Drosophila melanogaster: one gene and its partner. The protein of the gene in region 2 interacts with the protein of the main gene of each other region in a pairwise test. Each region holds a gene or a part of one and is shown on either strand. Other genes may lie near its edges. The genes, in order: smal and ckn.

What was found.
Region 1: the proteins of ckn (region 2) and smal interact in a two-hybrid assay, tested with the Drosophila melanogaster proteins (one large-scale study listed by BioGRID).

The regions. Positions count from the first base shown.
Region 1 is NT_033779.5:6,176,985-6,180,912, reverse strand, and holds the start of smal (smoke alarm), read right to left. Parts: upstream 1,781-3,928; 5' UTR 1,214-1,780; intron 1-1,213.
Region 2 is NT_033778.4:14,961,348-14,965,275, reverse strand, and holds the start of ckn (caskin), read right to left. Parts: upstream 1,985-3,928; 5' UTR 1,351-1,984; intron 1-1,350.

The DNA of each region.
Region 1 (3,928 bases), on a different chromosome or scaffold from region 2:
TGGATGCATCTATGAACTTCGGTGCTTTAAATTCTTTCACGCACATCGAATTATGGGTTTTAGGCGCAGTTTAAAGCAGATTGGGCAAATCTGCGGCAAATCTGTTGTTCATTGGAGGCATACTCAAACGTCTCATTACCATAATATAGCCAACTCAATTCCGCCTGGGCCCACCAACTTTTTCTACAATGGCAATAAAGAGTTCCCCTCGCAATCGACCACGAAAAGTTTTTTCAGCGGTATTATCATAATGATTGCGCCCCAAACGGCGCTTGGGGCAGATTGAGGGACTCGCCCGCCTGCTGCCAACTTGTTTACACAAATTTTAATTGGTGTAATTATGATTTTTACACGAAATTAATTATGCATGCGCGATTGCGGCTGCATCTTCGCAGCTCGCGGTAATCGCTACCCATCGGATGCCCAATCTCAATCTTAAATTTCTAAACCATCCCAAGTGAGCAAGAAAAATAACTCGAGTTATTTACAAAAGCTGATGATTGCGGGGGGAAAAAGCGAAAGCGAGGTCTCTGGAACTTTAATTGCCAAACATACTTCTACTTAATTACCCCGCAGAACAGCGGGAAAATTATGAAATCCAGGGGCCTCGTTGCGCGTCTAGCGGAGTGTGAAGTTGCCAAAGACTCGAGGTTGAGGTTGTACTGCGGAATATCTAGATACATAACTGCATCTGCGAGATAAGAATCTGTGTGCAACAGCCGTCGGAGGCACAAAGTGTTCGGAGAAAGATCTTTCTTTAGGAGATAAGGGCAGTATCTTAGCGTTTTACGACCTGCCGCCGCTTTTCTTCTTCGCTTCTTATTTATAAAATACAGCAGGTTAGTTTGATTAGCCCCAGATGTTGACAGCTTGGCTCTTTCTTAATTTGTGTTTAATTAATGAGGCAAGGGGACAGCCACCGTAAGAAATGGGGAGAACGGGTTGGAAATGATATCTTTTGATCTCTGGAATGCGCCTTGATGAGATACATTTGATTGGGCCAATATTCTTCTGGTTTCTTTTCGGATAAATGAATTATTTAGTTAGTAATTGACATAAACTTGTTTTTGTCGCACTAATTGATTGTTTGCAACTCAATATTTATTTATGCATTGCAAAGTCTCTATGGGGAAATCCTGTTTATTGACATGATTGCTTTGAGCATTGAGCACTGATTGTTTTCAAGTTAGGCCTTTCTTCACTCTCAACTCACCTAAATATTCCAAGAGTTTTGAATTAGCCTTTGCGTTGACTTAAGGTGTATATTGATTGTATTCCGTTTGCACTTTAGTTTGTAGCAAAAAACAACGATTTCTCTACTAAAATTTCAAGCACTGTTGTTCACTGGGGCAGCAAAAGATACTCTATCTGCTGGTTTGTTTCGATATGTTTGAGCACTCCGTGGGCATTTTCTCAGGTAGCACATTTCACACACTTTGCCGCACGCTGCTGGCGGCCGCAGGTGCACAATTGCCGCATCTTGGGTGCCACTTGCACCGTATCTTATTCCTGACCAATTCGTATCTCTGCACTCGCGCTGCGCGGATTGCGTATCCGTATCTGTCGGATCTCTTGGCGATTGGCTGCCAGCCGATTAAGCCTGAGATGGGTAACTGCGTTGATTCGCGACCGCGTTGCCAGTGGCCAAGGCGTTCTGTTCTTCTTGTCACGAGAGCTGGATTGAGACTGGGGGCACAAACTGAGACTGAGACGGCGGACTGCGACAGCGACTGCGACTCTTGTAACGCGCGGCACGAAGGTCGACGAGCGATTGAATCCGATTGAATGTAACGTGCAGCGCACCACTCCGTTGCATGTAAGTGTGGATGCTAAGAGAGCGAGCGCTTCTCTTTTGTGGACTCTGTTCGCTCGTCGGTGGAACTGTTTACAAAGTTTATGTGTGGAGAGCGCTGTAAAGGACCTGCAAGGATTTATATTATCAAATTAACATTTAAATCATAATTTGGAGTTGTTTCTATGTTTTTGTTTCCTTAAAACTTATCATTTAAGCTACAGTATAGTTTATATTGTATATGCTGCGCTAAAAACTAAGTTTTTCAATTCTCAGTAAAATTATCCACAATGGAGTTGAATTTACCTGCCCAGGCCCAGGCACTTCACCTGTGCTCTGTGAAAATCGCCGAGAAACTCCAAATCCGATAGAGTTTTTCCGCTCTCTTCCGGCTCGTATAAGAGATTTCCGTCTGCGGCGAATGTGGAACAAAACAAGAGCGAATTCGAACTGTTGATTTGTTTTTACCCTCCCCGACTTTTCCTTTCGCTCGCTTTTTCCGGCGAATCCGCCTTGCAGTCCAAATTGGAAATGGCGGACCGCCGCCAATCGCGGCCTCTGATGAATTTCCAATGATTGACGCCGGCATTAAGCCGAAATCGCACATACAACTTGTCATAATTTCCAGCAGAGAAATGCGATCTTGTCACATTGGTGCACCATATCATATGGACATGTATGATTTACGAACTCTACGGTTTTCGTGGGGCATGGGGATTTATAGCTACGCACTTGTAGATTGTATCGCAGAGGTTGTGGGTTGATTGATTGGTCTCACCAGTTGATCCGACCCTTTGTTCTTCGCCACTTTCGAATGTTTGACTCGGTGACACAATTTCGAGGGGCCCACAACGAATTCCTCGAGTGGATCGCCGCTAATCAACTGATATCGCTCCGGGCCAGATCGCCTATCGAAAAGCGAACAGCGTTTGGAAAGGCGTTATCTGGAAACCGTAACCAATTTGTATCATATATGGTGACTGTTTATGAAAGCAGTACTTCTTCTGTCTCTTTGTCTGTTTTCTTAGTTAAAAAAAAAAAACATGTTTTTTGTCTTCTATTTTATGATTACAGACACCCAGAAAGCTATGAATTGGATATTAATTTAAAAATATATACAAATATTCTGCAAGATTAATGTAAATGTTATTGACAGGACAACTCCAGCAAATCAAACATTCTGTCTTGTAGTCAATTTAACTTTGTACGTAGTTTTATTCGATAGACTCTTTGCATGTTCCTATCAATTGGCCATTTGTCACATCCGAGTGTACAAACAAACAGCAGACAGCAGAAGCATTGCCAACTTCCAACCATAACTCATACCCATTCCGGCCAAAGCCGTTGGGCATGCGCTGTCTGTCAAACGGCTTGTTCGCCTGCCCGGCAGTCAAAGAAATCAGCGGACGAGCGGATGAGCGGCGGCCAAATGGTTATGATCAGGAATTTACACAAAAATGCATTCAGCGCTGCTAATAGATATACAAAATACATACATAGATAGAACAAGCAAATGTTGCGTTATCACGAGTAAATATTTACATAGCCTTCAAGGACTCTGTGAATACATCAACCCCATGCTGCGATACTGGCATAGTATCTTTTGCCACATTTGTTTATTGTCCCAGACCTTTCCCACTCCATAAAGTATTTATAGATACTGACATTCTCGATGGACTGCTTTCGAAGATTAAAAATTCTATCAGATACCCATTACTGTATTTTATCTATTGTGCAAGAACGATAGCTGTTGACACGACGGTTGATCCTGATGAAGAATTCATTCCAATGCATCTGGACTGATAGCCAAATATAACAAGCAAACATACGCCATTTGGTTTACGCTGTGATAGTATCCATGAATCGAACTGATAAGTTCCTTGAGTCCTCGTTCATGCAATGTAAGTATTTGCTTATGATAACGCGACAGCGTGCCACTCTGTATTCTTCGGACGAAGTTTGTAAATTTATCAGCCGCGCTGATTGCATTTTTGTGTAAATTCCTGTTCATAACCATATATATATACGCCGATTTGTTTGACTGCCGGGTAGGCGAACAAGCCGCCTGACAGACAGCGCATGCCCAACGGCTTTTGCCGGACTGCGACTGAGTTATGGATTGAAGTTGGCAATGCT
Region 2 (3,928 bases):
TTGGCAACGATGGAAATGCACTTGGCACAGTGGAACCGCTTACTGAAGGCGGCTACAAGAAGTTCACCGAAGTTCTGCTAAAGCCCTAAAGTACCCAAACTGTAAGATACTATATACATATGTAAATATTAGATACTATATAAAGATTGAACATATTAAGTTGGGCTTCAAAAAGATAGAGCCCTATTTATACGTTCAATGTTCCTATATATAACTTCAAGTTGTAAGATATTAATAGATCGTTCAACTTGGTTTACTTTTCCATTGCAGCGAGAAGATTAATGAGAGGGAGTGGGGACAGCAATTGATAATCTCCTTATCTGTCCCACTGTGCGTTGAATGCCACGCAAAAGACAAACAAACCGAGGCACGCACACACACACACACACACACACACAAGCGAATGAACCAAGCACAACCACTTTTCATGCCGCACAAGGCAATAAGAGAAATAGAGAGATGGAGCCACTTGGGGAGAGAGCGCAAGAGCGAGCGAGGCTCCATCGGCGGTAACTCTATTTGAGAACCGCGCAGCTGCATGCTCTCGCTCTCTTTCTCTGCCTCTAATCTCTTGGTGGAGCCATTGCCGCCCGACTCCCCTCCCCAACCGTTATTCTAACACTTCATTGGAGACAACGACATCAAGTCATTTGATTCCCACACAAATCTCTGCATATTGAGCGCGGACTCTCTCTACATCTCCAGCTATCTCGCTCTCACTCGTTTTATTATGGCAAGTGAGTTATGGTTTTTCCGGCTGTGTGTGTGTAAGTGTGTACTGCTGCGCTTTCTATTGATTTATATGAGTTTTATGGCGCAATCTGAGCTATAACAGCCAAAGAGCAGAAAAAATTTACGTAGAGCGCTGGTCTCGATTTTAATTATGGCAAGGGACAATTATGCAAACGGAGAATTAATAAAAAAAAAGGAAAACAATAAAGAACAAGACTTTAAGTTTTATTACACTCCCACTACTCACGACCAGAGTTGTCACGTGTCGTTCGCAATGCCAGACACGTGTTCGTTTATTAATTACATAAGCCTAAACAGCGGCAGCTGCAGTCGTGAGTACCCCTCCTCCTGATTGTCTTTTGTTTCCTCTATTTTTTTGTTGAAAACCCAATTTCCTGCAGATGCTAAAGATGCCGCATTGAATACAAGGCGCATCGAAACAGCTGGCAACCCTCATAAGTGACAGATGGCGACGCCGACGTCGACGCAGGCAGCGCAGGACGAAGGCCGCATCAAAATAAAAACACAAAAAAGAGTTGCCGCCTGTCCGAAATGTACCAAAAACACCAAGACCCATTTAAGTGTAAACGTAATTAAGTGTACATATTATAAACTTACGTTAGCAGATAATATTACTATTTTCCAGGCTTTTGGCTAAGTTCTCTCCGCTCCTCCTCTTACCGTTCGACAAATCACATAAATCACAAGCGTAACGAAAGCTGGCACACAAAATGTAAACAATGTAAAACGCTCGTAATTGTTGCTTTTGTAGCTTAATGAATTTCACGTTTTTTATGGTTTTTTCCACAAAAACAAGAGACTAACAAACGGCATCAAACGCACGCAGACACATCCACTCGCACCAAAACTCACTGTTTGTTGTCTTTATTTTATGTCTACGACGCGCGAGTAAAACATAAAAACCAGATTAATTTCAGGCAGACGAAAATGTTGACGCTTTTTTTTTTGTTGGTTTCTTTTAAGCTGAATTTCTTGCTCAGTTGTTGTGGTCGCGAGTGCTCTTTTTTATTTGCTGAGCCGCCATTTTCTTTTGTGGCAATTTGTTGAGTTTTATTTATTTTTTTTATTTTCTCAGATATATTAAGCACTGCTTTCTTACTTTGTAATTATAATCACTTTACTTTGTTGTGATATCCGTACTTGTGATATATTTCGTTTTTGAATCTAACGACAAAAGAACGGGTTTCCGCTACAAACGTCCGAACAGCGGAAAAACGAAAACAAAACTTAGTGTGATCGCAGCGTGGCTGTTGGAAAATACCTCATTAATAAAACATCGATTGCACACAAAGTATTGACGTATCGATGTTTTAGTATTTTTGGGTCATCTGCTCAGTTTGTGTTTTGAAGTTGATGTTATAATCATCAAAAAATAATGTCTTTTGTATTTTTGCTTTAAATAGTGTTGTACGTACAACTTTTTCATTTATCACCGGTCATAATTGTTTTCCACCCCTGAAACCGGTGTGGAAGCTCAAAAATACCAATTATTTAAAAACGACCCCTAGCAGTGTTGGTAAACATGTTATTATTGAGGCACTTGCAGCACTCCCTTGTCGGTATTTTCTGTGCTGTCACTTCGCGTTCTCCGCTTTGTGCTCTCCTTCCACAACGAAATAAACGGAGAAATAGCAATGTTAGTTTTAATTCGTTTTAGCCATAACAATTAATTAAACGAGTGCGAGTGCCAGTGTCTTAATTAAAATGTATGTGGCGCACTGATTGGCTTTAATTTAAATGTTTCGTGCTGTTTGATTTGTCCCCTGTGTTATATTTGTGCGGCGTTTTGTGCATACTTTTTGTGGTTAAATAAACTAAAGGAACCAGTGTGAGTCGATTACTAAGCTTAAGCTTATTAAAAGTGTTAATGTTAAAAAAGCGGCGTCTTAATTGAAAAATGCTAATGAGTTAAAACAGGTTGGCGACTCTCCTGCTCGCTCTCGATGCCCTGCCTCCACTCTCTCTCTTTCTCGCTCATTTGTTGCACTATTGTTGTTGCGGCCAACTGGGTACTTTTAACAGTTACCTTGGTCAATGTACGGCATTAATTACGCTCAAATACTTAAGTACTGAGATGCCAAGTAAGCGGTGAAAGAAGGAGAGGCGAGGAGTAAAAATAAACTAATTTGCACACTCGCTTTGGCGTGCTAATTCCACTTACTTTTCTTCTTTTATTGTTTTGTGGGCGTTTTGCATGATTCACTCGCGTTTGTTTTGTCTTATTCGTTTTATCAACGTCTACGCATTTGGTGCAGCGCAAGCAACAACAACTACCTGTGGCATGCAGTTCGTTTGGCGTCTGCGTATGTGTGTGTGTGCCTCAAATGTCAAAGTTGACATTTGGTTTTGGGCGGGATTTCAAATTCGTGGGCAAAGAGAAAACGATAACAGAGAGAGCAATAGAAATTCATAAGTTCGTTTATCTATCAGATTCTGAAGATAATGCTACGACACTTTACAGTTAAGCTTCTACAAAATAACAAATCCTTAAAAAAGTTCAGTCAATGTATAAATATAAATATATTTCGCCACTAATAGTTTATTAAAATATATTTTTTTATTTAAACTAGAAAATAAAACTTACTTTTAGCTTAATTTGTAATTGTAAAATGTCTTTTTAATTTATTTTACTGTAAACCGCTTCGTTTTTAACTCGTATCTATTTACTCTTATTTTTGCAGTTTTCTGTTATCAATCTGTTTGTCTCTGTGTGTTACGTGATATCAAAATATTTTACCCAGCTAGCAAATGCAGAAAATGCCCTCGCAAATTCTGAACGACGGCAGCAGCGTCAGCTTGAATAGCGCCAGTATGAACATGGCCAATACGCCCAATAGTATAACGGTAAAGACCGCCTACAATGGCCAGATTATCATTACCACCATCAACAAGAATATCTCATACGAGGAGCTGTGCTACGAGATTCGCAACATTTGTCGATTTCCTCTGGATCAGGTAAAATATATATAAAGTACTGCACGTTACAGAAGTGTAATTCATTGAGCGTTTTGTTTAGCCATTTACCATCAAATGGGTAGATGAGGAAAACGATCCCTGCACCATATCAACGAAAATGGAATTGGACGAGGCCATACGACTTTACGAAATGAACTTCGATTCCCAGTTAGTCATTCATGGTAAGTCTGCTCAAAATTTAAAATTGCAAAGATACGTT